2 linked regions of the Oryzias latipes genome follow. Each later gene encodes a partner of the first gene's protein in a complex. Links are inferred from orthologs where the notes say so. Each region holds a gene or a part of one and is shown in the gene's direction. Other genes may lie near its edges.

Region 1 (15,487 bases):
GGCCCCAAATTTATGTGCAACACCACCATGAGGAGATTTAAATTTAAAAATAATAACACTCACATGCTGGTATGCAAAACGTCTGTTTGTCTTTAGAAGGTGGCAAAGCACAGAAAAGACAGGGGGAAAAAAGAGATGAATTTAGGGAGGGAAGATGCAGAGAGAAAAAGCTACATGAAATACTAAAGGGGGGGGGGGGGGGGTTCCCGGGGAGGGATGCTGAGAGAAAAAGGATGGAGGGCGGGAGGAGTGAAAAGAGCGGCGTGCAAAGGATTTGTAGCAAAAGCAGTTTCCAGTGGAAGCTGCAGGACGGCATCAACACTGATGTGGTGATAAGTGCCCGCTGATGGACATGCTTTCTGAGCAACTGGGCTGGGAAATGCAAATGAAAGACACAGTGAGGAACGAAGAAGGGGGGGGGGGGGGGGGAGAAAAAACAAGAGTGTAGAGTGTTTGTCTTCTGTGGGAGAAAGGGGACAGAGGGAGGGGGCGGCGTTGGTTTTTCTGTGTCACTGAAAGAGAGTGGGGGAAGGGAAATAATGCCAGCGAGGGAGCAAACAGCAGAGCCCTGAATCATATAGTGCATCACTCTTGGTGTATGTGTGCATCTGCAAGAAGAAATGCAGATGAAGGCGGACGTGAACGTTCTGCAACCCAGAGAGCCTTTTAGAGCCGCGGCATCACCACTTCCCCCATGGAACACCACCACACTGACAGCATTTAAAGAAGCCACTTTCATATTTATTCTCCAAGGCCAGCAGTGAACATGACGTTTTTAAAAGCAAAGCGATCATTTCAGAGGGTCACAGCCCCATACAGCATTTATATAAAGCAAGGAAATCCAGAAATTACAAGAACTTTTATCACAGTCTCTGACAAAACCAAAAAACAAATTACCGTAGCTAATAGGGGTGTAACGATGAATCGACTTAATCAATTAATGGATTTATATTCCTAAGACTGATCTGTCTGAGGCAAGTTGTTAATCAAATCACCTATAAAATCATTTCAAAATGAAATAAATCAATCATATCCACATTGGAAAATACCATTTGGATTGAGGAATGGTAGGTTTACTTTACTTTAATGTAAAAACGACCAAGTGCATCACAACGGAAAACAGTAAAAACTGATTACAGTGGAAACACTTTGAATTTTGCAAAGACATACATTGTGCTAGAATGTTCAAATGATGTTCCCTTTGAACTTTTTTGATGTGAAAAAACAACAGTGGGCTGAACACTATGAAACTAAATCGTTCAAAATGAACCAAAATCGACTATGAATCGTATTATTAACCAAAAAGTATTATAGGAATTGAATTGTTAAATGAGTCGTTACACCTCTAGCTCTCAATTTTTGTAAAGACTCTCAGTGGCAAAGGTACTTTCAAGAGAGGAAAACATTGTAGGAAAAAGCTCTCTCTGTAAAATAAGCTTTTTGACTTAAGCCGTTTAAAAAAGAAATGACAAAATTTGTTTTTTTGTTTCATCTTCGAGCTTAGATAAGCCATCAACATAAACCCAAAGCTGGATATGTTATTAATATGGTTCCTCAAGTATGCCACACAATTTTTAAATATCTGGGTTTTTTTTAAAGGCAGGCAGCAAAGAGTCTAAAAATGATCAAATGTTATAAAAGCTACCCCTAATTTCACATCAAGTTTGCAAAAAAGTCACAAATTCAGGAAATATTATTGAAAATGTAACCTTAAAGACCCAGTCCGATGGAAAATAAGGTTTTTAACATGTTCTCTTGTCGTTTTGGGGAGCAGCACATCTGACTCAAGATCAAGATGAGGATCTTTAACACCATGGTAAAACCCACACTACTCTATGGTGCTCAGTCATGGAGGACTACTGCTAAGCTAATGAAGAAACTCCAGACCTTCATTAACACCTGTTCTCAGAAGAATCCTTAAGGTGCACTGACCCAACACCATCAGCAACCAAGAGTTATGGGAGAGGACGGAGCACCAACCAGTAGAGGAAGACGTCTTCAAAAGACTATGGCGATGGATTGGCCACACCCAAAGAAAACCTGCATCCAGCACTTCAAGGCAGGCCCTGACATGGATTCTCCAAGGAAAAAGACAAGGAGGGGGCGCCGAGATCTGGAAGCAGGGGCCAATAGCATGGGGAAAAAGTGGGGACAGACAGGAAGATCTCCCCCAAGACCGGTCTGCCTGGAGAGCTCTTGTTTGCGGCCTATGTCCCAACCAGGAATAACAGGCGAGAGAAGAAGATCAATGTGAGTCTTCGTCTTCCTCCTCCTCTGAGTTGGCTCAAAACTGTAAGACTGGATGGCTCAATAACTGCTCGCGCTTTTTGTTACAGCGATAAGCGATGTTCCCGTGTGCCTCAAGTCCTCCATCATCGTGCCGGTGCCAAAAAAATCATCCGTCTCGTGCCTCAATGATTACCGGCCGGTCGCTCTGACACCGGTGATCATGAAGTGCTTTGAGAGGATCATCCTGAACCACATCAAGGACATCATCCCTGCTACTCTGGACAGTCATCAGTTCGCTTACAGGGAGAACCGATCGACAGAGGACGCAGTATCACTAGCCCTGCATGCTACCCTGTCCCACCTGGAGCATCCTGACACCTATGTCAGGATGTTATTTGTGGACTTCAGTTCAGCCTTCAACACAGTGATCCCGGACAAGCTGACACTGAAGCTCCACAACCTGGGTCTGCCTGCCTCCCTGTGCCTCTGGATCAAAGACTTTCTCACCAACAGGCCCCAAGTGGTGAGAATCGGGGACTCAACATCATCCACTCTGATCCTGAGCACAGGAACACCACAGGGGTGTGTCCTCAGCCCCGCCCTCTTCACTCTGTTCACCCACGACTGCTCCGCTATTCATTCCACAAATCTGGTTTTAAAGTTCGCCGACGACACCACCGTAGTAGGTCTCATATCCAACAATGATGAGACTCACTACAGAGAGGAAGTTCAGCACCTGACAGGATGGTGTGCTGACAACAACCTCATCCTGAACACCTCCAAGACCAAAGAGATCATTGTGGATTTTAGAAGGACTAGAAAGGTGGCACACACCCCCCTCCTCATTAACGGGGAGGAGGTGGAGCAGGTGGACCACATCAAGTTCCTGGGAATCCACATCACATCTGACCTCACCTGGTCGCTGCACACATCCCACCTGGTGAAGAAGGCTCAGCAGAGACTCTTCTTTCTCAGGAAGCTTAAAAGGACTGGACTTTCATCACAACTTCTGGGGAACTTCTACAAGGCAACCATAGAGAGCATCCTCTGTCTGAGTGCTACGGTGTGGTACGGGAGCTGCACCGCTCAGGACAGGAAGGACTTGGCCCGGGTGGTGAAAACCGCACAGGAGATTGTGGGAGGACCTCTCCCACAACTCGACTCAGTGTATGACAGCCGGGTCCGACGGAAGGCTGGTCGTATTGTTGCAGACCCCACCCACCCAGGACATAACCTGTTTGTACCTCTTCCCTCTGGGAAGAGATACAGGAGCATCAGAACTCACACTAACAGACTGAGGAACAGCTTCTTCCCAAGAGCAGTGAGGTCCATCCACCCCCCACCCCCCCCACACATCACACAACTGGGTCAACGAAACCGCCCCCTCCCCCCAGACTTAACATAACCCACTAACCCCTGTCAGCACACAGCTGACAATGCTCTGACTCTATTTTAAACTGTGTGCAATATTCATGCTGTATGTGCAATATCCATTCTAATGTGGAATACCCACTCGTGCAATATTCACCCCACTCTACTGTACAGTATTTAAGTATTTATGCCTTATATAGCTCCTTATTCTTATTTTATTTTATTCTACCTTTTTTATATCGAGAGTTGCTGGAAAAAATTTCATTGTGCTCTGCAGAATGATAATAAAAGATTCTGATTCTGATTCTGATTCTGATTCTGATAATGTTACATTGGGCTGTAAGCTAGCGGGAGACCAAGTAAACAGAGAGCTCCTCCGGAGCAGGGAGGGGAAGGAGGGTGGGATCGCTCCATGGCAACAGAGACAAAAACTCCTGCCGCTCTGCAGAAACTATGTCCTAGAAATGACAGGCTAAAAATGACAATCGTAATTAAGAGAACACTGTGAATGCTTGAAAATAGATCAGAGGATGATTGGAGTCGGCCTTTAAGGTTGGACAAAGCTTTTTAATTTAATTTGTTTTAATAAAAGTCTAAAATGCATTTAAAAAGCAATAAAAGGATTATACCCTTTAAAATCTAAATAAAAGCCCAGTCCAATCAAGATACCACTTTAGATTGCTTACAGGGCGATTTTATGAAACTACATAAACTTTTAAGGTAAAGGCAATTAAAACCATAAATAAGGTCATTAGTAAAACCTTAGATTGTAAACCAGCATTCGGTGTCAGCATGTGCGTCACTTGCAATATCTGTGCGTGATTATCGAAGGGTCACTGTGCACAGGGTGTCATAAAAACCATCAGCTTCAGAGGTGCTCATGGCACACAGGTGTAAGGTGTTCACAGGCAGACGGCCAAAGTTCAAACCCTTCCCTGCCTTCAGGTCCCCCACCCCGTCAAAAATCCTCTCCCGCTTGACGTCGTGAAACTTGGCCAGAGTGAGATGGTACCGTGGGTTGTAGGAGTCCCTGTGGAGCCAGCCCTTCTGCCTGTACGCCTCCTGCAGACCGCCGTTCAGCTGCTGCAGGTGCAGCTGGGGCTGGGGGCTCAGGTACAGCACTCGCCCGTTGAAATCCTTCAGCTTCACTGGAAAGGTCACAGCAACAGGCGGGTTGCGATCCAGACGGGAAAAGTGGCGGAGAATCTCCTTGGCAGATTCCACCTCAGCCGGGCTGTGCAGGTTGAGGAGGCAGAGGGTAACGTGAAGCGTGGACGCGGCCTGCCAGTGAGGGGCGGAGGAGGGTAAAAGGGCAACGAGCTCCTCCCGCAGCTGCTGGAAACAGGAGAGGACGGCGGGAGTGTTGGCTCGGAAGCAAATGAAGTGGGTGGGTCGTTTTTTAGGTGGGCGCACGCCACCCTTCTCCACCCTCTGCTCTAGAGGCGATGGTGCGCCTTTGCTCATATAAAAATTTCTTGGATAACTCTATTTGAATGAAAACAAAGAAAAGCGTGATTAATCCAAACAGAAAGCATTTCTGATCGGGTTTGTTTTGCCGTACACACCTGAGCGTCTTCTTTGCATTCCCAACTTTCCGCCCACTCTTCCAAATTGGTCTCCTGACCCTCTTCTTCTTCTTTTTCTCCTTTTGACGGCTGCTGCTCTTTTAAAGCCTGGATTCTATAATTAAATTGGTTAAATGGAATCAATGAAGACAACTGTGTTCCAAATAGAAATGTAAATAACATCTAAATTATTTGAATTCCACTTGAACGTTGTTAATAACCGTTCTCTTCTTACATAAGATACCAGTTACATGTGTTTGGGACAAACTGGTCAAAGAGCTCCTGACAAATGCAGAAAGGTACATGTTGCATTTGAAACTTTCTTTCCCAGCCAGTGAGGTTGCAGCTACAGGTCAGACATCCCATAAATATATATTAAAACAGCAGCATATTCATCCAGTCCAATATGAAGGATCTGATTTAAAGTGGAGGACCCTCTGTTCTCCACTGATGTATGCTTCTAATTTACAGTTTCAGACACATTGAGATGAGGATAGAAACCGTAAATCTGGAAATCTTATTAAATTGTTGCACAGTAAGTTTTCTCTTCTCCAAGTAAAAGATCAAACTACTGACCCGTTTGGAGCATCCTCAACAGCACATGTTCCAGGACACGCCTGCTCTCCTCGGGAAGTGTTTTCCTCACAGTGTGTGGACACGAGGCTGGAAATCCTCTCATTCAGCTCCTCCACATCAGTGCTCCTCATATGATCACCGTCTTCTGTTTTTCTTTCGTCCTGTCCACTGCCAGTCGTTGGCTGCTCCTGTTCGGCTTCGCAACTGTCTTGTGGTTGTTCTTGGTGGTCCGGGCTTTCTTCAGCTAAAGCAAACGGCTCCAATCAACCATCGTATCTCTGTCAGATGTACATACAGAGTTGTGATCTTCACTCACCGTTTACTTCCTCTTCTTTTCCAAAGGGGGGAGCCAAAGATTGACCTGTGGAGCCAAAGACCCTGTCGGTCCTGCTGTGGCGGTCCCAGACGCGTTTCCCTCTGTAGCTGAAGTACTGGATCCTGTGTCTCGGCAAGGCCAGCTCAACTGAGTAATCGCAGTCACAGGGGTTGGCGTCCCAGTTGAAGTCACAGAAAGGACGCTCCAGGACCCCAAGGAAGCGATCCACATACCCCACAACAAACTCCGATGCATCCACTGACGAGTCCCACAAAATGCGAGAAATCACGTCATCTGCTGTGCGCATACGTGGCTTTTTGGTCACCTCTGCAAAAGAGTAGTTTTTCAGAAATTAAAAAAAAAGAGGAGAGAATGCTAAAAATTTAGGATAAAAAAATGAAGGCCCCTACCAACTTCTTCACTGTTTTTCTGCTTTGCCCCTTTTTTCTTCTTGAGCTTTTCCGTTTTTTGTTCATTCTGTTTGTCATCGATTTCAGGGGACATGGGTGCTGAAACGTGGAGTGGGGGTTCACTGAAAAATAAGGGCAAAGGCATTAAAAAGAAATAATTCAAAAGGGAAAAACTTGCTTTCAGATGAGTCGAACCACATAAATTAAGATATAGAGCAGACACATTTCAACAGTAGTATTTAAATCTGTAAATGGCTTTTATAACCATGATATTCAGAACATAAAACATATGTACTTTAAAAATAGTATTTTATAAAGACAGATAAAGGTTATCGGACCTGTGGAAGGAGCGACATTTGTGGCCAAAGCGACATTTTCCACTTTGGAAAAACTGGCACACTTTGACTCCATCGCTTTTCAGCTCTGCCAAGTCTGCAAATCACAGCAAAGATAACAGGAAAACATATGCAGTCAAGACTAAAAAACGAACTGATCAGATTTTTCATTTGAAAACTCATATGGTCATTATTGTTGCTCTTGGCATCCACACAAAGATCAGTCTGTGCGTCACAAATGATTAAATCTGCTCCTCTGCATTCCTCGCCCTGACATAAATGATATTATATTTGATTGTTCTAACCCTTCCATAGACATGGACCTCATAATTCATCTCCAGTGCACTAATCAGAGAGTAAACAACAGGTGGTAATAACCTAATCCCCCGTACAATAATGGGAAAGCTGACTCTCCCCGACGCTGAAGTTATTAAACTCCCTTCTGATATTACAGTTTACTGAAAGCAGCAGGGAGGTTTGTCTGTTCTGAGGAAATTTCCTTGTGACTTAAGGTTGGGGAGTAGGGGTGGGAGTGGGAGCAGACACCGATTCCTTTCCGTCTCTGGAGGTGGGAGTCTCTGGAGGTGGGAGTCTTCAGTCCTGACTCACTTGCTAAAAACCCAGACATGTTTCCAGGACATGAACACTGCAGGAAGTGAGGGGCTGGGGGTCCACTGCATTCTGCTCCCTTTTAAAGGGCCAGAGGCTCACACAAACACGCTGTCAGAACAAATTCCTTCCCAGAAACACTGCTATTGATGACTTGAACGCTGATAGCTTCTAAAAAATAATACTAATAATAATCTGGCATGGAGTTTGATTCCCCTAAAATCCTAATTAGATTTGAACAACATACCAATTTAGATTAACCAATTAGATTAACAGCAATAAGTACATACATGTTAAAAACACATAAAAATATGGTGTTACCATCGACATCAGTGGGCTTCTGGGTGTCAGCTGTTCCAACAGTTGGGTTATTGGTTGGTTCTGTGAGGGTCCCGCCACCATCTACCTGGCCCTCAGGTGAAAACGTGGGAGCCCCTGTCCCACGGGACGCCATGGTCACAAATGAAGGGCCCTGTTGCCTCGTTGAGGTAGTTTTACCTTTGACTGGTCAGTAAAAATAAACTGGACACACCCGGTTTTCTTTACTGTGTGTGGGAACACACGGAAGTGTCTAGTTTTTGGCGATTAAAAATAAACAATTTTAGAAATATTATTGTTTTTACAAAAAGCAGATATACTTAAACGCACTCAAAAATCAAAACCACGGTCACATATTTTGACATTTAAGCAGACTAGTAAGAAAATGCAGACTTCCAACTCAAATGTACTTTGACCTCAGTCTCGAGTGGACCTATGGGTAATGTAGTTAGTGTTCAATCGACTAGTCTTATTTTTGACTAAATGATTCTTGATTTCAGGAATGTAATCGTAAATTTTTAAAGAAAAATAATTGGAGAATTTATTTACATTTTCAAACGTCAAGAATTTGAGGTCCAAGAGTGCCAATGAACATAAAACTTGCTTAGACGCATCATTTCTGCTCGAGCGCGTGACTCCGCGTCATGTGACCCTTCTGTTGTTGTTTGCTAGCAGTTCCCGGTGACAAACGAAAAGCGTAACTTGTTGACTTATTGGTGAGTTTTTTAGTTTAAAAAAACGACCCGAAACATGTTTTTTGTATTTTTAAACTAAAAAGCCATGGCTGTTCCATAAAAGTCGTTTTGAGCAGCATTTAGCTCGACTCCGCTGAAGGTAAGAAGAACTCTCTATGATTGACTTGTAACGTCACAAACTGTTAGGAGACATACAGTCTACCTGTAAATATCTGTTTGTAGTCAAAACGGCAATGAATGTTAAATTATTGATGGATTCGTGTGTTCTCCATTTCAGATGAATGCGCTGGTAGCTCTGTGTCACTTCTGTGAGCTCCATGGCCCCCGGACCCTCTTCTGCACAGAAGCCCTGCATCCCCCATCCCCAGACCCGTCCTCCCAGACTGGTACCCCGGTGCCAGGAGACAGAGATAGAGATGGGGACCGTGAGGGTGAAGGTCTCACCATGAGGGCCAACAGCTCTACTACACCTAGAGGAGAGATGTGTGAGGTCAGTTTATCACGCTCTTGGCACCTGGACCTTAAAGTCCCACTCCGATCATCTATTTTCAAAACGTTCCCAGTGGCCTTTTAATTATGATTGTGCTGTTGGGGGGGGGGGGTTGGTAGTAAGCCTGCATGCAAGCCTGTTTGTTTACTTGTTTACGGCCCCTGTAATTGACCCCCATTCTAACATTCCCTGTGCAACAAAATGCCGACCAATATTGGAGCTAACCAGCCGTACAGTTTGGACGAGGAAAGCAAAGACTGAAGACGAATACAGAAATACGCAGAGAGGCAATTTGAAGCTTAATTTTCTTTATACATTCTATCATCAGAAAAATGGCACAAACACACGTTAAAAACAACAGAAACATAATTTTCATTGGAGTGGGTCTCTAAAGAGAACTTATCGGCTGGTAATCCATTTCCCACATGTCATTTTCTGTTTTTTTCTTTTTCTTTAACACCTTCTTAGGGATGCAGATCTCTGCCTGCATCTCACCCTGGCTTTGTGAGCTTCGATGATGAAACAGGAATTCGATTTCTGAGCCATCAGCATCCCAGGCAGCCGCAGCTTTTTAGCATGGTGCGCCAAGCCTGTGTACGCAGCCTCAGCTGTGAGGTAAACTTTGCTTAAACGATGTCTGCTCTCATTTTTGGCCCTAATTTCCGACCCAGTTTTCTCTGTTTTTGCCTCAGGTGTGTCCTGGACGTGAAGGACCGATATTTTTTGGAGACGAGCAACAGGGGTTTGTGTTTTCGCACACCTTTTTTATTAAAGACAGCCTGGCCAGAGGATTCCAGCGTTGGTACAGCATCGTTATTGTAGCCATGGACAGGATCTACCTCATCAATTCTTGGCCTTTCCTGTTACGTCACCTAAAGCTCACCATACACAGCCTGCAGAGCACAGCTCTAAAAGTAGGCCACAAAAACAAACAACCCCTTTGTTGATTCTGTATTGAGCTTAATTGACCGAACACATTTTTCTTTTATTAGGTATTTGACAGTGAGCAGGGGGTTTGCCCTCATCGAGCCATGCGGATCAACAATGCATTTTCCCCCGCAGTCTTTCCACACCAAAGAAGTGGGAACGCCGCCCGATCACTGACCTCTCTCACACAGCATCCCAATCTCTGGGCCAGCCTGCACTCTTCTTTTAGCTGGTGAGACAGTTGACCCGGCGTCACTCTGTCATTACTCCCCTTTAGGCTGATTTGTAGCTTCTCAGCTGTCAATAATGATTTGGGTCTTCACACCCTTCTTTCTGCAGGTTGCTAAAAGCCTGTGGGAGCCGACTGACGGAGAAGCTTCTTGAAGGTGCCCCCACAGAGGACACACTGGTGCTTATAGAAAGACGAACAGGTAAGCATGACGTCCAGGGCTACAAAACTGTTTGTGTCTGATCACACTAGAAGATTTCCTTCTTAAAACAAATAAGAAATATATAAAATATAGGATGCCTTTCCCTTGTTATAAAAGAAAAAAATCTGCCTATGGAACTAGTAGAATTTGTCTTGGTAAGATTTCTCAAAAAAGTTTTGATCTCCCGCCCTTTTTAAGACTAATTAAATGATGACTTTAGCTATAAATACTCATATTTAGGTTTATTGCTCTTAAAATGGGAAATATTAGGTCTTGAACTAAGCCTGATTTTCTTAAAAAAAAGTTTTATACCTATAAAGTAGGTATATTTGTACACTTTTCTTCCCCCCCAAATATGTCTTATGTCAAGCAACAGTCCAACAAATCATCCTGAAATAAGACTAGAATTACACATTTTAAGATCCATTTGTATTAAGGATTATTTAAAAAACACATATGAAACAAAACCACTCACCAGACAAATAAAACTTCAACTGAAAAATATTATATAAAGAGGAAAAAATGTGTTTTATTAATGATATTCATATAAAAACGAGATGTTTTCGAGATCAACTTACTCAACAAGATATTCAAAATGTATTGCCTTAAAACAAATTGGGTCTTTTATTTAGTTCAGGGGTCTGCAACCTTTAAGGGTTAAAGAGACATTTGGTCCAACTTCAAACTGACCAAAACCCACCGAGAAGTCCCACTGTTTTACAAAAATAAACTTTATTTATGTTTTTTGTGCCCATTAAGCCATTTATCTATGAAATTAGATTTAATTATGTACAAGAATAGAATTACATCACTTTACTTTTGACAGCTGCACATTAAAAAGTCCTTTCAAAATAAAATGACAACCCCCCCTGCTGCAGCAGATTTACTTAAATTAAAATGCAAGAAAGTCAAGTCAAACATGGTGCTTTCTGTTATTATGACTGTGGTATACCTTCATCCTGTTTATTTCATTTCACTATTCAATACATGATAATGACGTAGAATCCAATTGTTTTTACAAATCTATATATGTAAATGCAGTTGGACTTTATATAATTTAAGAACATTGTCTCTGAGCAGCACCTGGACATGTATTAAAAATCTAAACCTAAGTGACCAAAATAACCAAAACAAATCAACAAGAACTAAAACTCTTTATTTATATAAATTGTAACCGTTTTTCTTCAAAGCCAAAAAGCCACAAAATAGGGATTAAAGAGCCACATTTGGCTCATGTTAATGACCCCTGATCTAGTGTAATAAGATCTTCAAAATAAATACTAGACAGTAATACTTGGTAAGATTTTGCGTTTTTGCAGTGTAATGTTATTTGTGAGCTGGGTAGGCATTAAAACAAATCTACCTAATAAAAAAGGATAAATATTTTTTTTGTCCACAGGAGAAATTAGGTTTCTTGACATTAGATGAATTTATAAGATTGTGCAGTTTGCAGCTGTTTTGTATCATTGGTCGGAAATTCGTTTTGAGAATCACTGGGTCACAGTCTTTGACCAGAAAAAAACAAAACAAAAAAAAAACACTGCACCTTTGTACTTGAATCCACTTCCTTTCCAGAGAGGGTTTGCATATTTATGGTGAGGAGTTAAAGTGCGATTAAAGGATTTACAGGAAAGTACCCGAGTCTAGACCCAGACCTTAGGAAACAAGGAATTTGAATTCCACAACCTAATATCAAACACAGAGCAAATCTAGTGGTATGCATCTGTCAGGTTCAGAATTAATCCACCCAAGACAAAACCTTGTGATGAACTAGTGACTCATCTTACTTGACAGCTTAAATAAGCTTCTTATGCAGCACAACTTTTGATTTTCTCTGCTGTTTTCTTATTTTTAACAACATTTGTTGTAATTTGTTTTAAAATTACACTTCAAAGTTTCATTTTAATTTCTAAAAACAGTTTCATTGAACATTTTTGAGGTTTCCACAGCAAATGTAAGCACTTTTTTCCAGATGGAATTTTCCATTTTTGTATGATTTCCTGTCTAGTGTGTGACTTAAAACATGGAAAAATGACTAAATAAAGTTAGTGCCACATAGCTGAGGTTAGACAAGCAATCAAATAGTCTTTCAAATTGAAAATACAAAGGCAAATTCGAAAGTAGACAAAAACTGAGATTTAGGCCCTACGTTCCAAAGAGTTAATAAAATACCTTCCTTTTAAGATAGTCTTTTATCTGTTTCCTTATCTGTTTTATCCTTCTACTTTAATATTTATGTCTAAACAGTCATTTCTATAGTTGGTTTGAGGAGATTGCACTCTTCAGAGGTGGGTAAAGTCTTTTAAGGAATAACAGTGCCGGTGATTAGGGATAAATATGAAGGAAGTACTGTGACTAAAAAAATAACTTTTCTCAGGAGGACTTCTTTCTTATCCTGTGGTTTTTGGGATGTACAGGTACTTTAGTAGATAGTAGTAGAGATACCAGTTGGATTTTTTATTTAAGTAAATGTTTTTGCCTTAAATGATTTAAAGCTGTATTTTACTCAAAGTCAGCTGTTGCAGTTAGTCATGCCCAAGAGATGAGATGATGTCATGTTGAAGAACAAGTTGAATCTTGTGCAAATCACATGAAAAGTGTAAAGGTGACGTGAAAAATCCCTTAGTAACCGTTTCCTTCAACTTTAAACATATTTGGAACGTCTCTCTTGATGTCATCTTTAAAGAGCAAGAAGAAATGAGCTGCTGGGAGGGAGCAGAAGGAGGTGGATCCGAGTCGCAGCTTTACCACTCGGCAAGCCAGCTGGGCCTCGACTTCCTGTGTGACGATTCAAAGCTAGAGCAGCTACCTGGTCCAAAGTTTAGGTCACTTAGGCATTTAAGACAGGTAAAGTCCTCTACATATTGCAGCCATCACATATAAAACAGAAGGAAGTATAGAAAAATGGAGTTCTTCCGTATTGTATCCATAAGTTGGTGCTTTTTTTTCTTTACAGGTTTTAGGGGCGGCTGACTTTCGACAGCTAGCGTGGCATGTGCTCATGGGAAATCAGGTCATTTGGAGAGGAGCAGACCCTGTGCTCATCCAGTCAGCCTTTACTGTCCTAAAGGTGCCCAACCCCTTTCTGCCCTGAAATATTATTTTATATTTTAATGCAAATAAAACTGATTAAAACCAAGGTCCCTCATTCATTCAGCTAGGTGATAATGCAGTTGAGTCATAGTCACATCTTTTAAAAAAAATCTGTTTTTTCCACTTACTTTTATGAATTTTAAGCTAATGTTTTTGTTAAAAACAAAGTTCAACACAAATGAAAAGATACATTAGCCTCCAGTTTGATGGTAATTAAATGGTCATGTTTTATTATTTATTGTATCTAGTAGTATAAAAAACAAAAACTGAATCTACATTTATTTAAAATGAAACAAATTATGAAAACGAGGAAATGGAAAATCACTCGTATTTTCCTGCACTTTAAAATAATTCCTTTTATCAACATCATTCGACCTTTTCACCAGAGCTCTGAACTTTTTTTCCTGCCTCATATTCTCTTAACATGGTAAGTTAAGTATTGCAACTCTTCAGTTCCTTTAGGGAACACGTCTGTCTAACTGCCCCATCCCAATATAGAAGCGGAAGGTTTGGCATCTCGTAGTTTTTTCTTAACAAAAAGCTTAAGAGAAAAGATGACAGGCTCATATCTGCTCAGTTTGATTCCCCTCTTAAGATCTTTATTTCCATTTTGCTATACTGTTGGATTTGTGCTCAGTGTTGAATTAGCAAGCCTTTTGTCCTGCCTGTGTTATGATGCTGTTCTTTCTTTAGTGGTAGAGAGGATGGAACAGCCAAACACCCTCCATTCGGGTACAACATGAACAGCAGTGCTTAAAAACTCACTCTGATGAAAATCATGTTTTTTGTGTTTTTAACATGTTTTTCTGGCATGTGTCTGATGTTGGAGGACAACTACAAGGAGAAATAAACTTAAAATTGCATTTCTAAGTATTTCTTTATTTAAATCGTTGTGAATCAGGAGCAGATGAACTAAATGCCGCTTGAAAAAGCTTGTATTTAAAAAAAGCTACATTGGACGGGTCACAAGCTCCATTCTGATGCATCCACTTGCAGACAGATAGATCCACGTTTGTGTCTTCATTTTCCTCATCCAAGCTACTATTTGGCTCGAAACTGTATGACTGGATAGCTGCAATATGGCTTCCCATTTTTGTTGCATCGGTAACGTTAGGTTGGGGTTGTGAGGGGCCATAAGCTAGCAGGATAACATGTAACCAGATGGGCGACGGGAAGTGGGGTGACCTTGCTACATCCCACAACTCAGAACTACTGCAATTATGACCTAGAAAACGAAACAAGTTTTTGAATTTTGGAATGCTTTTAAAATGGCATAAGACATCAAACTGATTTTAATGTCTGTCTGTGGTTCTTCTAGACGTTGCTGCCAGTCGGCTGTGTGCGCTCGGTGGCGTACAGCGATCGGTATGAGGAGGCCTACAAATGCAACTTCCTGGGTCTCAGCCCCGATGTTCCCATTCCAGCACACGTCAGCTCCTCAGGTACCACATCTCCTCGTGTCGCCGGGAAACCCCACACCCACATATTGTTCGATTTTGCTTTGGAGGAATTTTCTGGGATCTTTTTGTTTTACTCTTTTACTTTTTTACCTTCCCTAAGAGTTTTCTGTGCTGGTGGACGTGACCTCAGAGAGGAGCCATGCCACGTCTGCTGCAGGCGAAGATGACATCTCCGCTTTCAATCACTTCAGCATCAGCAGTGCCAGCACACAGCCAACAGACAGAGGTGAGTGCTCACACCGGCAATAATGCTTGCACATATGTGGTCACTGATGCGTTTTGGGAGGAAGAATTCATGTCCCAGCTGCTCTGAAAGATTCTAAATGTTCTATTCTTTTAGAAACTCTTATAAATAAATATTAATTGGGTTATATGTGTAGCTTGAAAACAGCAGAGATGGGAAATGCAGATGACTGCTGAGGCTTCCGGGCTTGTTTTGTTTTGTAATCCTATACTTTTTCACTGAAGCGCTGCTATAAATTATGAGCTTGAAGAGAAGCTTATAATGCCTGTTGTGCCCAGCAGAGAAAAAAATACAGTATGTCTTTGGTTTTATGTTTTCATTTTTTAGTGGGACTTCACCGCAGCATTTCATTAAAACAAAACACCTTTTTCGAATTACATAATAAAATAACAAGGTTTAAATTCCCGTTAGAAACTAC
Region 2 (15,571 bases), about 9.2 Mb from region 1:
GTTGTCTTGATGCGTTAGGGAGGCGACGTGGCTGGAGGGGGTCCGTGGATCCGAGACGAGACGAGGACTGGAAACGTAGCTTGAGGGACCGACTGTGGCTTGAGAGTTGGCGTGGACTCCAACAGCGCTCCACTGAAGGAGGTGAGTGTGGATGGAAATCTGCTCGGCGCGTCCGCTTGACCGTCCACTCGTGGACTAGGATATTCCTGGAACAGGACAAAGAGTCGTGAGGCGAGGTGTAAGAGGTAATCAAACAAGGATCACTAGAGGCTAGAACATGCATGAATTTATGTTAAAGAAACAAGTCCTAAGGGATTAAAGATAAAACTGTGAATTTCCAAATAACCTTATCTACAGAGTGCGTGCCACAGAGTTTGATGCTGAGGAGAGAAGTAACCAAAGATAGATTTGATCCCACCTTTGCATTTTATAGTACTAGGTTTAGGGGTTGTCATCTGGACTTAGATTTTAAAAACTAAGTCCAGATGACAACCCCTAAAACTACTACTATGATGGAATCCACCTGGAAGAACGAGAGTCTTCTTAGACACATTAGCATTTGTGAGGGGCGGATGTCCGCTTGAGCACAGCCTAACCCCAACACCGAAGGCCGGAGGCGGGCTACACCCTGGTCAGGTTTCCTGTAACTGTTGAACTCATTAAAATACTGGACAAAAATCATTTTTATACAAACAAAACCTTGTAGACAAACAGAAAAACAAACAGGATGGCAGTAAGTACAGTTTTATTCAATCCAGCACACGAAACATCAAAGTCATTGCAGTCATTAGAAGAAATGAAAGAATAGCAATTTTAATTTTTCATCTTAAAACTTCCTTTTTTCCAGAAATGTGAGAATAAAGTTATCATTCAAAGTATGTAAAAGTATGCAAAAAGAAATTTGAGCCAAAATTGCATTTACATGCACATATATGTTAAAAATATAGAAATTCCTTCTGAGGGTCTCTTTTTAAACTGCAGTGACAGGGGTTTGCATCTGACTTCATATTTCTGTCCAACACATTTAATCAGATTGAACAGCAGAGATCAGGCTGGTCATGTTCTGTTCCTTCTCAAATCTGTAAAGGAGCAGAAACCTGCTGGAAAAGCAGAGAAGAGGATTTAGATTCTTCCATCAGATCTTCTCAAACACCTCAAGATCTGGGCTTCCTGCTTTCACAATAAAAGCTCCTAAAAAAGTTGTCGTTGGCTCATTTTTTGTGCCTCACCTTGTTTTGTTTGTTGCTCCTCAGAGCTTTGATCCCCAGGATGGCGGCGCTGATGACCACACAGAGCTCCAGGACCGACAACACGATCAGCACCCCGTTCAAGCCCCTCAGGAGGACCTGGACAAATCACAGTAGCCCACAAGATGTCCTAAGAACTTCTGGGGTTTTATGGGTCAAATGAAGGCTAGTTTGCTTTCAATTTCAGGGAAAGTTAGTGGTAGGGGTGCAGCCTTCCAACAACCTCACTCCTGATTGATGAGAGTGGTTGCCCTAGAAATGTTGACTCTGACCAATGACTGATCACTGACCATGTCTTGCTCCAACATGGCAGCATGCGCAGTCAGAAAAATGGGCGACAGAATTGCCTTCATTTGGCCGGAGTAAACCATTTTCTGGGGGTGACGTCACTCGCTCCAGTCCTCATGTACGGTGGATCCTTGCTTTTTTGAGGAAGTTAAGTTTTTTTTAAAACAACCCACTATGAGTAAAATGTGCAAAGTTTCCTCTTTACGTTTTACAATAATAATAGATGTTTTTCTCTTGTTTTTCAACTCTCAAGAACCTTCATAGAAAACTAAATCCAGTATTATAGAATGGATACAAAGATGCGATCGTGATTGAACATTTATGTAAATTTGGCAAACGGTACTCATTGTACACTGGGGACACAGCACGGAGAGGATTGATTGACAAGGTCGGCAGCCAGTCAGGTTGCAGAATAAATCTGCTGTATAAAACAAGAAAAAGAAAAAAAGCATGGAAAGTTGCATTAAAAATAACAGCAAAACAACAAGATGAAGCATGTTATAGCGAGGGACCGCTGTACCTCCTGGTGCTTCAAACGGAGCTCCTGAACTTGCGGTTACAACTATAACCATAAAGCTCAAGAAGGTAAACAAATAATCTGTTTATGAGCTCCATTCATTTACATAACACCTCAGGGTCTATAGAAATAAGGACATCTTTCAAATTTAGGCTTGAGACCTCAGTAAATGTCTTGCTTTAAATTCCTGATGTGGCCCCAGACTCTGTCTCCAGTGCCCCTGGGGTAATTGGAGTTTGACAGCCCGGGTTTAAAGGTAGAAAGGAGGTTAGTAGAAAATGAAAGACGTCCAGCTGCATAACTGACCAGTGTCAGCTGTTGGATCTCGTTACACTTCTCCTGCAGCGGTGTTTGGGTCACTGTGGCAGGGGTTGGGTAGCGATAGTACCCATAGTCGCAGCCCCAGGGTTCCATGGTTGCTATGTAGATGCTGTAGAGAACGATGGCTGTGATGGACAAAGCAACTCCTGCTACGCTCACGATGACGTTAAGGACCACCTGTGAACCCAAAACGGGTTTACACAGTTGAACATGAAACACGGTACTGCTTTAGTGAAGACATGCAGAGCTTTTTTTGCTCCCAATTTGAAAAGAATAAATAACTAAGAAAGTAGAAAACTGCTCACCAAACACCGACTTGGAAACCTCTCCGATAAAATGCACATGAAGCCAAATGCAATGAACTAGAAAAAAAAGGAAAGGTTCATCATGTCCTGTGGTGTTTAAAATGAATATGCTAGCATATTTTCTAATTCTGAATTTATACAAATTTTAAATTATTGTTTTATTTTTTATTTCACCTTCATCACTTCACGGTATCTTTTGGCTTTCATGCATATTTCATTTTTATATGTATCCATTATAATGCATAACTGTTTATAACCATAACTTATTTAGAATTTGAATCAAAATAAAGGATCTGCTTCAAATAAATATTAGCACTTAGCATTGTCATCAATGATCAGTATAATACATAACATACAAGTTATGCATATAACCCTGAGCCCTAGCCATTTTCTGTCATTCTTCATCCTAATTTATAGTCCTTTCAGAAGTCCTGCATCATACGTTTGAGATCAACTGGCTTTAAAAGTGCTATTTAAAATATTCTTCTTGTAAATTTAACAATCTTAGCTTTTTTTTTTGTTTTATTGTTTATAACTCCATTATCAATTAACAAATAATACAGCATTTTATTTTTTATCCTGTACCTCCTTCTTGGCAGTAAAATCAGACTTTTTTAGGTTCTTGTACTTCCTACCTTCTTTAATAGCTAAACTAAAGATTTATTTTATCATAATTTGACCTTTTGAACTTTTTTGTGTCATTAGAGCTGGTTTACAATTTATTCTGGTCATTTATTGATTGATTTAGGATTTGCAGTAATGTTGAGTTTCTTCTCAAATATCTACATGTCTTGTTTTTTTCTTTTGTCTGTCATATTTCATTATCAAATCCATTATTCATCTAATTTTGTCTTTAACTTGCACAATGTTCAGCATCAATTGTTTACAGCGTTGTCACCATAGCAACCACGCATTCTCACGTCAACTCCTTCAGATGAGGAATTAAGTTCTGGGATTTTGCTTTCAGCATTCTTCAGTTCATGAATGAAATCCAGTTGTTATGCAGGTATCTTACCAAAGCTCCCAACCAAATAGGAAACTCTGTCATATTTAGATACCACGCAGTGAGCTGACTCGTGCGGAGGATTAATCCAGGGCCGATGTTAAGGAGCCCAATCATAATCTGCATAGCCTGTAAGAGAGACACAGGAACTCAGTGTTCTGCAAAAACCTCATCGTGTTGTTTGCAGTTTTCTGTCATGGATTTCAAACATCACAAACAAAACATCTAAAATAATAGAAAATATCCAGATTAAGATAAGGTCTTCCTGAAGAATGTGTTATTACTCCAAATTATGAAGGCACAAATATGACTGAAAACTTCACAGTTTTTGTAGGTTTAGCTTCATTAACCAGAACTTTAAATGTCAAATAGGACTCTAGAACAGTTTGTGACAAACTGCAAAACATTCTCCTAAAGTTCAGCCCACTGTTGTTTTTCCACATCCATAGAATCCAAAAGGAACATTGTTAGAACGTTCTAGCACACTGTATGGTCACATGACTTTGCTAAATTCAGTGTTTCCACACATTGGACTGGAATGATGGACTGATCAGTTTCTGCTGACATCACGTGTGTGTTTGTCACAAGAACAGGCAGACAGCTGGATCCAAATGCAGCAGGTTTATTAGCTCAGCTAAAAGTCCACGAAGCTAAATCATGGTCAGGCAGATATGAGATAATCCGAGGAGAGACAGGGTAGTCAGGATCCAGGCGAGAGTCGGGGCAGGCGGCAGGCAAACAGAGTCAGAAACCGGGTCAGGAGACAGAGGATCCGGTCCAACTACAACGCTCGGTAAGGAAGGCAGAGCAGCACAAACGATACTTCTCACTGAGTGAGGCTCAGGGCAGAGCTTAACTATGCTGTGGTTGATGAGTGAATGAGAGTCGGGTGTGTGGCATCCAGGAAGTGTGGTTAGAACTCTGGAGATGGTTCCCACTGGTGACCAGAGAGGGAGACAGAGCTCTGACTTCTGACAGTGTTGTTGGCTGTGATGTCACTTTGTCGTTTTTACATTAGAGTAAAACAAACCAGGACTCACCCCAAGGATGGACAGAGACGCTTTCTTCTTCAGCGGCTGAGACACAGAGCACAACGCCGGGCTGTAGCAAAGACCTTTGAGGATCTGGCAGATGGGGGGGCAGGAACTGCTGGGGTCGGAGTTCAGGGTGATCACTGTGACCCCTTCACCTTTGGTCATCATCACAGACATCCTGTCTGCGGATGTAGGAAAAATATCAATTATGTGAAAAATTGCGATATTTTATTGGTCAGTAACAATGTTTAAAAAACAAATTTTAAGCAAACATTTAGCTCAGCGTCTTACTTTTGTGTTCCACTTTAACCCATTGATTGTATGTGAGAACTGGAATGAGTGAGCGTGACGTCACTCATAGAAAATAGTTCACTTCCTGGCCTGTGCTATCCATGTTGGAGCCAGATGTTGTGAGTTGAGCTGTGATTTGTTCAAATTGAGCGGAGTCAACGTTTCTATGGCAACCACTCTCTGAAATCAGGACTTAGTAATGTTGGGAGGTCACACCTCTACCATTTTAAAGTGGACTACACAAAACATGTCAATCAAACGTTTTAAACGTTCGACATGGGTGCCAGCAGGCTCCCCTTACTTTGCTTGAGGCATCTATAATTTGAATACCTTTAACAATAGAAAATGTATCAAGACAAAAATAGGATTATCAAAGTTTATCAGAAGTCCTTCTGACCAATAGATTGACTGAGAAGTCTAAAGAAGTTTATGGGATTTAGGTTCCAAACACTTCCTGTTTGGAACAACAGGGAGAGGGGTCACTCAATCCAGTTCTCATATACAGTTAACCACTAGTTGGCAGTGCACCACAAAACGCCTCATTTAGCAGCTCTCTAATAAGATCTAATGAGAACCGTCTCATAGTAGATGTTTACTCTTCAGTGAGGCGGCAGATGTTGTTCCACAGCTCAATGATGCTCAGTTTAACCTGAAATAGGCAAATTTGTTTCTTTGATCTTTTAATCTATCATCATCATCATATAGTTCAATAAAGCAGTTTTGGAAATGTGTAGCACTTTATTTTCTTAATCATGCTTACTGGTTAAGGCACCTTTCAGCTTTGTTTTTTTTTTTAATAAAAAATATCCTGTTAACAAACCAAACAATACTGTGTTGAAAAAATATTCCATAATTTATCTAAAGAAAAGCACCATGAATTTGCTTTGGTAAAGCAACTTGTTCGCAGTCTGTGTCACACAGCCACTACGTACATTTTGTGCACAGGTGAAAATTGTTCATATGTGAATATACGTCTTTACATGAAATTTTCACAGATGTACAAATGAACCACAGATGTACAATGGAAGATGTAAGAATAAACCACGCAAAGAACACGTAAATCTACATAGAACATGAATTTACGTAATTTGAACATGATATGTGCGCCGTATACGCAAAGTTAAAGGTTTACATCAACAGTATATGCATGAAACGTCTGTTACACATACGTGGAACGGTCATGGAAAGTCAAAAATGTGTATGCGACTCGCATAAATCTCACACAATTGCTTAAGATTTACTTAATAATTGTGTGTAAAGGCCCGTACACACCGGGACGAATATTCGCCAGGCGTTATTCGCCAGCGTTTTTCGCCATGTTTTTTGTGTTCACACCCAGGCGATTTTCGCTGACAATGAGCCGAGCCAACATGCAATTTCATTCCCTGACGTTAGATGGCGCTTAATGTAAACAGAAATACTCCTGTACACAAGGTGGCGCTGCGCAACTTTATGCTTCTTAAAGTCGCTTTTCACTCAGAAGAAGAGAGCAAGTATTTACGCGATTGTCAGAATCAAACAAAGAAAACATGAATATTTCAAGCACCAGTAGCTCCAACTGGTGCTTGGTTCGGGGATATTTTAGAATGTCCGTCATTATTTCTTCGTGGCAGTGTAGACGCTATTTGGCGTCTATCTTCTTCGCTGGTATGTGTGCTCAGCAAGGCAGTTTTGTGTTTGAGCGCCCCCAAGTTGTGTTTTACTGTCACTTCAGAAGCTCCAGACACGTGTGCAAAAGCGCCATTCTCATTGGTCCAGTAGATTTCGACGCGACGCGTCGAAAAAAAAAAACGAACCCGAGGCGCTTTTTTTTTTTACGCTTTGACGCGTGGCGTTTTTTCGCGTCGGTGTGCACACTCTCATTGGTGCCCTTTGTTTAGTCACGAGGCGTTAAATTCGCCGACGAAATTTGTCCCGGTGTGAACAGGCCTTAAGCTATGTAAACTACGCATAAACTGCAAAATTTCAAAACCGCTCAAAACCAGACTCACGCAAAGAGTCGTTGGCCGAAATCCTCTACAGATCTGTGCCCATTGACAAATGAATGAATTACGTTTATCACATATGTTTCACAAAAGACAGAACTTAAGCAAAATGTGTGACATGGCCTTAACCCTTGTGTTATCTTAGATGACCCCACCCTTACATTGACGTGTTCTCCCTGCCATGACAAAGGTGGATAAAGGTGGAAAGATTTCATGTAATCCATGGACACCAGTGAAGATCACAAATCATTGAAGAAAAAAGGTTCAGAGCACTTCTAGTGGGTCTACATGACCTAACTCTCTGTGTTAAAGTGCCTATGATAGCACAAGGGTTAATGTTCTGATAATGAAATAAAATGTATTTTCTGCCATTTTATAAAGGTGTATTAGTATTCACTCAAAGTTTTGCAAATTCATACTCTTTTTAAAATTGGTGATATTTAGCCTTTCTTGCAGCCACACTGTACATACTGATTAGATTTTTTTTGTAATTTCTTTTCTCCAAAAGACACTTTTATTCGTCATCATCATTTGTCCTTTCAGTTGCAGAGACTAGAATAGAAAAAACTGATTTTTTGACCTTTCATCTAAACTTCAGAGGTGTCAGAATGACCTCAAAGAGTTTTACTATAAATTTAAAGAGTTAACTTTTTTGTCACATATCTAGAAGGAAATGTGTTTATTTCCTTCTGCCAAAATGAGACTACATCCTCTCTGATTTTACACCACGTCTGTAGCTTTCAATGGTTGACGGTATAAACAAAACTGTAAACGGATGCACTTGTGTGACTATAATTTTACCAAAACACATATCAGAGAATACATATTAACCATGCACTCATGTACCATAGCAGTTACAGCATGGAATCAAATCAACTTTTGTTTATACAAATGATTGGTTTGTGTCTTTTTTATAAGTGTGTCCACTCAAACACAACAGATTTACCTCTTAGAACAAAATCCTCTTCTTACAGACAAAAAAAAAACAATAATATCCTCGGCCCGATCACTTTTTCTGATGTCCAAAGGGCAGGAGGGAAACGATTCTGCCAAACACTTTGCGCAAACATGTCCTCCCACCAGGAAGCCAGCAGACAATAAAAACCTCAAAGCAGACTAACCTTTACTGTAAGGAGGAGTGTCAAAAGATTTAAATAACACTTCTTTGGTTGAAGTAGAATAAAAAGTACACTTCTTTGAAGCATAAAATCTTTGAGATAAAAACTCTAAATATGACAAAGGAGATGAATCAAGGAGGTGAAGTTTTCGTCGTTCACTGAAGCAAACTATATTTCCCATGATACATTTCCAAAGAACTGGTCATATTCTAGCAGCTCTAATAGGTGTGAGTGTGAATGGGAGTGTGATTGTGGCCCTGCGACAGACTGGCAATCTGTCCAGGGTGTCCCCTGCCTTCACCCACAAGTGGCCGGGATAGGCTCCAGCAGCCCCGTGACCCAGAAATGGACAAAACGGAGGAAGATGAATGAATGGCCATATTCCAGTTCTCAAAAATGTTTACAGACTACATGGGAAAGTAATTTAAAACAAAAAGATTTGTGAAAAAATCAGGAATAATTAAAAATTTAAAAATAAAGTTTAAAGAAAAACATAATAAATATAAATAGGAAACATGTATTTGGATATAACTGCAATTCCCATGATGCATCTCTAAATGTACCGGAAAAGGAAACAGAAGAAGAATCGAGTCAGCTGACTTTGCTCTGTTATTGAGCAGTTCTCTCTTCTTTTTTAAGCCCCGTGTTTATTCAGTCAGATCATTTTTCTGGGTTTTTTCTCCTGAGAGAGGTCGGCCATGTTGCGACCCAAAGCGCTGACGCAAGTTCTCAGCCAGGCGAACACGAACGGCGTCCAGAGCACCCTGTGAGTACCGCGAGCTAGCAGGCTAACATCCAGCTAGCTAGCAGCGGTTTGTTTGCGTCTAGCTCCTTAGAACTCTTAAAGCTCCCCTGAAACGACACGTTTATATAATTATTACTTCACCAACTTAATACTACTTTTACATTTTCATTATTTATTGCAATAAATACAAATATATTTTTTCAAGATTTGTTTTCCGCTGTTAAATCAAATACAGTTTTACACGAATTTCAAGCAGTTGAATTTTGATTTCAAAATAAGAGTCTTTTTAAAATATATTTGGTTCGTTTTTATTTTTGCTTAGAAAGTCTGTTCAGGGTACAAAATATCATTATCAGGTAGAAAAAAAGCAAAAAAAATCGATTTACATTTAAAAAGTGGTGTGGGAAAATAAGTAATCTGTAATGTTTGATGTAGATCTGTTTGATATAGATCTGTTCATCGTTTTAGCCATTTTGCATCAATCGATCAATTTCTGTCCTGGAGACCTCCTGACAAAATTACTTGGTTTTCATGGTTTGAAAACGGAATGGCGTTTGTCTTAAAACTTTGTCACTGTAACTTTTCATCATTGTGTTGTTTTTGTGTGTAATGAACAACCGTCTCTCTGTGCGAGCAGCCTACTGAACAACGAAGGCTCCCTCCTGGCGTACTCCGGTTACGGCGACACAGACGCTCGAGTGACCGCTGCCATCGCCAGCAACATCTGGGCCGCCTACGACAAGAACGGCCACCAGGCCTTCAACGAGGACAAACTCAAGTTCATCCTCATGGACTGCATGGTGGGAACTTTCTCCTTGTTTTCCTTCAGCCCTTTTGTTGAAGTTAGATTCTATGAATGCCCCAACATCTCTGAAGGGGTCTGCAATTTGAGGCATCACAGCTGTTTTTTTTCCCCCTCCATTGTGACTTTAAAGAAAAAATGTGTATTATTTAAATAAAATAATGTGTTTGTAGTTTTGCTTTAGCATGCATACATGGTGGCACCTGTTCAGTCTGGTCTGTTTCAAACGGGACCAAATGGCTCTTTTAATGTTGTACAAAATATGAATAATGGGACTTGAGCAAACCTTCAGATATGGAAGGAGCTGGCTCTTGATACCAATAGCACCACAGGAAGACACCAAACACACACTCCTTGTACTCCTTGCCCATTTTTTTTTGCCCCGCTCTACAGTTTTGTAAACATTGCTCAAGTCAAACGTGTCAACGTCCTGCATCATTTTTCTCATGATACATAAATAATCTTCGCTCATGCAAACAACCAGATGATTTTCTTATTTCTAACTTCCAGCTCTGAGGCAAAATGTTTAACTTAATTCCCGAAAATCAGCGAATCCACACAGTAAAACCCCCACTCTGCCTTAGGAGGAGGGGCTTTGTGGAGAGTCTTGCTCTGTAGATGGAGGGGAAACCTGCTGCATTTGGTCGCATAAAAAAAGCTGAGATCCATTCTTTCAAACCTGTGATTCAGTTCGATTTGCGCCTCATCGCCCCTTATTCAGTAATAATTCATGTCTGCACATTAGCTGAGAGCTGCTGAACTGAGTGAAGGTCAGGCTTACATAAATACTGTCGTAAATCTGAGCATCGCAAACTAACAGCAAAGCAGTGTTCTGTGAGAAATCCATCTGACTTAGTGGATTTATGATTGGAAGTTACAACCTGTAAAGAAAAGTGACTTTTAGTCTTTGGACTCGACCAATAAAAAGGCTTTTTTTTTTTTTCTCAGGAAGGGAGAGTGGCCATAACGCATGTGGCTAACCTGCTGCTTTGCATGTACGCCAAAGAGACGGTGGGCTTCGGGATGCTGAAAGCAAAGGTGAGGGCGCTGCTTCCTCACATGGGTCTTCATCAGCTGTGGTTCCTCAACGAGTCCCGATTCCTGACCCCACAAGTTCAGTTCAACCAAGGACATTTATTCACTCGTTTATTCATTCACTCTCCTCTATGTAGTTTAGTGGAAGTGAAGCATATTTCAGATCAAATTCCGATTCCAAGTTATTGGATTTGGAGTTGCTGCCGATACCGAGTTCCGATCTGTTACTGTCGTAGCACATCCAAAAAAAAATGACAAACTTAATAAACAGATCAACATTTTCCAAATTTTTAAAATTTTATTAAGCTTCTTTTAGCATTTTACACGTAAACAGAGCACTTCTGGGAAGTATCTTCAACAATCAAGGAAAAGTAATGCAATTATCAAATAGAAAAAATAGTTAACTATAAACTAGTACAAACTTGTTAATAGTTAACTAGTCAAAATAGGTTAATTAGCCCTATGAGAAAGTTTGGTGACTGTAGCCTTAACATCTTCAGAACTGTTGAACATTTTTGATCAGATGTGATTCATTTCCCTGTTATAATATCAAATAATCAATTTCCAAATTCATCGTTGTAGCATAATTATGATGAGTATTTGTGACTTTCAACAGAACCATTGACTAATCGTTAGTATTTTTATTATTATTATTATTATTATTATTATTATTATGTATTTATTTATCTTGGTCTATTTTTCCCAGAACTTGCACTTTGTAGGCGGTCCCTTATCAGCCCACCATCAGTTTCATTCTCTTGAAAAGAATGAAAAAAAGAGCAATTTTTATTTATTTACTATTTACAGTCTTTGTAAGTCGTTGGTAAGTTAAGATGAGCCAATATAGACACTTGCTGTCAGTATAAAATGTTTGATATACCGTACTTATTGTGTCAGGAAGTCTGAATCTGTGAACAACTGGTTAACTTTCCCGAACTGTGTTTGTGCGCCTCCTGGTGGCGTATTCCTGCTCCGCTTTACGACAATAAAACGTCCTGATCCATTCAGGAAGTGCCGACTTCTAGTAGAGTATTTATCTGTAATGTTAAAAATATATATATAACGGTAATTTCATTTTGATTTGACTTATTGGTTTATTTCAAGCCTTAATTGAATTAATAATAATAATAGATTGGATTTATCTGTGCTTTTCCAGACACTCAAAGCGCTTCAAATGTGTCCATTATTCATTCACTCTTCATTCATAGTTGGTTCGCGCCTACGGTCCCTCGGACCATCACTGGGATCATTCATGCACATTCATGCTGGTAGCGTTAAGGGTCTTACCCAAGGGCCCTCACTCACTGGTGTTTACTGCTCACCAATTCAATTGCTTGCTTGTTAATTCCCAGCTCTGTGAAGCGAACCCTGGTTTCCTGCATGTCAGTCCTAAAATATCTCTGATTTATCAAGGTCATCACAGAAAGAATGAAATGCATTGATTAAACAAAGACGCATTTAGGTCACGTTTGATTGATTACATATAGTGATAATTAACTACAGTCAAGTAGAACTTGATTTATTCTTTAAAGGGGCAGGAAGGAGCAGATTTATATAAACCCACCCTTACTGAGTTTTTTTTTTATATTTTTCATAATCCAGTTTATCCTAATAATGATAATAGAAACATTACAATCCCTGATTGACATCACTTTTTCAAACACCTGCAGAAGAACAATCAGAGAAGAGGAAAAGAGCAATGAAAAAATGACAGATTGAGGGAAAAGCTTTCTTTTTAAAAGCTTTTAAACTTTATCTTTAGTCTTTGAAGAGGCCATATTCCCCAGATTAACCTTGGCTCTCATGCACAATGATCTGTGCAGCTCTCAAAGTCGGGTTGGAAATACGAACACCCGCCGGGATGAGCTTCTGGTTCCCCACCTGAACCCGCCTTCTGTGACCGTGTGTGTGCTTGCAGGCGGAGGCGCTGGTGCAATACCTGGAGGAGCCGCTGACTCAGGTGGCGGCATCGTAGTGAAGAGTGCTTGATCTGAGGCCTTTGCGGACTTCTGTAACTTTCTGCTTTTCATCTGTGTGGGTGTGAGTCTCTCCAAAATGTCCTCCATTCTGCCCCCTGCTGCTCAGAAACGGATCATTTTGGATTCTGGCAGAACTTTGGAAAATCGTGCTTTTCTGCATTTACAATTATCATGCTTTTATTTTGAAGGTTAATAAAAATGTTGGTTTAAAAGTTGGACGTGTTTCCTGTTATCTTTAAACCAGATTTTAAAAAGCTAAAAGTCAAGAAATACTTTTTAAAAACATCTCTTTGCTCTTTGAAGGAAGAATTGATGGATTTTTATTTTCCAGATGAGAAACAATAAACATGTTTGTTTCATTTCATGATTCAGTCTTTTCACTTGAATCATGGAAAATCCAGCTGCAGCTTTAGAGGACAGGTGTAACAAAACAGGTGAGCATGAAAAAGAAGAAATAAAACAAAGGGAGCCTTTTAAAACTTCAGACTTATTTTCACTTTGTTTATAACCTCAGCGGTTGGTTCTGAGCTGCAGTCATCCTCTCCATTCACTTCACTCTCACTCCTTCACCCTCCCAGTAACTCAGGTTAGTGACATGAACCTGCTGCTGTGGGGTTGCTGGTTCAAGTCCACGGCCAGCAGGAGGAGTCGTTCCTCTACTGTTGAGCAAAACAGAAAAATCCAAAGCAACCTTTGGTTTTTTATCCGGCAGTGTCTCTGTATAAATATTGATGACAGAATCATTTATTAGTGAAAACTTTTTATTTGATCAAAACGGCAGAATTTGATCAGAAAGTAGCTCAGTTTTCAATTCTGATTACATTCTTTTAAATTCAGAGTAACAATTCTCATTTGTAATTTTTCTCGGTGTTTAATGTATATATTTTTTTTATTATTCAAACTTCTGTTTTTAAGACAGTTTTTGTGTTCTGTGTTTTTTCTTACATAAATAAAGTTGTTTGGGTTGGAATCCTTCCGTGTGCCATTTCAGAAAAGTGATCACTTCAGCAGAAAGGAAAGAAGCATCTGGAATGTGAGATAATTTGATCATGAAAGACAGAACTTCCTGTGATTACAGCAGAAAATTACTGACAACCACCGTGTGACGTATAGATAATTCACTCATGGTGTAACTAGAGAGACCTAAATAAAAGTGCGAGGCTGGAACAGTCACCCTGAGGAAGAGCGGTTCGGAGCAGAAGGGTTGTCTGTTTCCAGCTCTCCTCGTGGAATTCCTACCTGACTCTTGGCGTCTGTTTCCTTTGTTAATACTGTAGCGTCCCACTGACGCAATAATGAAGCGGAGGCGACCGTTTCTAACCGTGAGGCTTTTTAATGACTTAGGAACAGTTACTGTCGGCCGTAACCACGCCAAATACAGCACAACGATAATCAGAACTTTCCATCAAAGCATCCATCCTCCCCCAACCCCCTCGTGCACCCACGACCCCTCCTTTATTGTCTGCTCCTCCGCCCATTCTCCCGCTCATCCAATCACACTGGAGCAACGATGTAACCCAGAACACATTAACAGAGTCCCAAAAACGTTAGTCGCTACACTGCCTCCCCCCTACAAAGTCCCACGTCCCGTGGGGTCACACACAAAGTCACGGAGGTGGGGGGGAGGCTGTCTCAATCTCCTGGGCCTCCGTGGAGCCGGCACGGATGGCGCCATGTGATGTCCCGAGACCACCTGCTGCTGTGGGGGTGCATGTGGGGAATTGGCGGGGGGGCCAGCCCTAGCATGGGTGGGGGTAGCTGAGGGGGGCAACGACCTCCCAAAGTACTGCTGTGGCCGTGCATCACCCCTATACGGAGCCAGTCTGTCCCTGTGGAGGGTCACACGCCTTCCTCCAGGTGGGAGCTCAACCCTATAAACCACTTCTCCCAGCTTTTCCAGCACCTCACAGGGCCCCACCCACTGACAGTCCAACTTAGGGCATCTACCCTTTTTCCTTTTCGGGTTGTACACCCACACCAGGTCTCCTGCCTTGAAGTCTTTGCCTTTGGCCCTCAGGTCGTAGTTCCTCTTCTGCCTTATGCCGGCTTTCTCTAGTTGATTGCGGGCAAAGGCATGAGCCGTGTCCATTCTGTCCTGCAGCTTCCTGGCATATTCAGGTCCAGGCGGAGCTCCCAGGGCATCAGGGGGTTTCCCAAAAGACATTTCTGCTGGCGTGCGTAGCTCTCGTCCCAACATGAGCAAAGCAGGTGTGCATAAGGTGGAGTCCTGCACTGCAGACCTGTATGCCATCAAAACGAGTGGAAGATGCTCGTCCCAGTCGCTCTGGTGTGCTGAGGTGAGGATGGCTAGTTGCTTCACCAGGGTCCTGTTAAAACGTTCAACCAAGCCATCACTTTGGGGGTGTAAGGGGGTGGTCCGTGTCTTCCGCATGCCCAAACGCTCACACATGGCGGAAAACACAGCAGACTCAAAGTTCCTCCCTTGGTCACTGTGAATGACCTCAGCAGCGCCAAACCTAGAAAACATGCCCTCCACCAGGGCATCTGCAACAGTCACTGCTTCCTGGTCTGGGATGGCATATGCTTCCGGCCATTTTGTAAAGTAGTCCATGGCAACCAGAACAAATCGGTTACCTCTGTTTGTGCGTGGAAACGGGCCCATGATGTCCACTGCTACTCTCTCCATTGGTGCCCCTGCTGCCAGCTGCTGGAGCTCAGCGCGGGACCGATCAGGGGGGCCTTTATGCGCTGTACAGATGTCACAGCGGCGGCAAAAGTCTTCCACATCCCTCCTAAGCTGGCCCCAGTAGAACCCCTGGCGGATGCGACGGAGGGTCTTTGACACGCCAAAGTGTCCAGACCCTGCAGCTCCATGGCAACCTTGGAGGACTGAGTTTCTCAGCGTACGAGGGACCACCACCTGCCACCGTTCTTCTCCGG

What was found.
Region 2: flcn (region 1) and lamtor2 share a complex: the UniProt entries of both Homo sapiens proteins name them as parts of the lysosomal folliculin complex. The link is inferred for Oryzias latipes from reciprocal best matches to the Homo sapiens genes FLCN and LAMTOR2.

What each region holds. Positions count from the first base shown.
Region 1 is NC_019874.2:19,457,832-19,473,318, reverse strand, and holds the start of flcn (folliculin), read left to right. Parts: upstream 1-8,375; 5' UTR 8,376-8,445; exon of another isoform or gene 8,446-8,563; intron 8,564-8,701; coding exon 8,702-8,914; intron 8,915-9,382; coding exon 9,383-9,529; intron 9,530-9,606; coding exon 9,607-9,828; intron 9,829-9,906; coding exon 9,907-10,073; intron 10,074-10,180; coding exon 10,181-10,272; intron 10,273-12,958; coding exon 12,959-13,119; intron 13,120-13,228; coding exon 13,229-13,342; intron 13,343-14,683; coding exon 14,684-14,807; intron 14,808-14,925; coding exon 14,926-15,051; intron 15,052-15,487. Other genes in the region: leng9 (leukocyte receptor cluster member 9), read right to left, coding at 4,423-5,085, 5,166-5,280, 5,742-5,985, 6,058-6,384, 6,468-6,589, 6,806-6,899, 7,733-7,865. UniProt on the Homo sapiens protein: Multi-functional protein, involved in both the cellular response to amino acid availability and in the regulation of glycolysis.
Region 2 is NC_019874.2:28,616,209-28,631,779, reverse strand, and holds lamtor2 (ragulator complex protein LAMTOR2), read left to right. Parts: upstream 1-8,661; 5' UTR 8,662-8,807; coding exon 8,808-8,875; intron 8,876-9,491; coding exon 9,492-9,654; intron 9,655-10,604; coding exon 10,605-10,694; intron 10,695-12,609; coding exon 12,610-12,666; 3' UTR 12,667-12,886; downstream 12,887-15,571. Other genes in the region: uncharacterized protein LOC101171775, read right to left, coding at 15-206, 1,230-1,346, 2,359-2,550, 2,679-2,735, 3,694-3,810, 4,722-4,892. UniProt on the Homo sapiens protein: As part of the Ragulator complex it is involved in amino acid sensing and activation of mTORC1, a signaling complex promoting cell growth in response to growth factors, energy levels, and amino acids.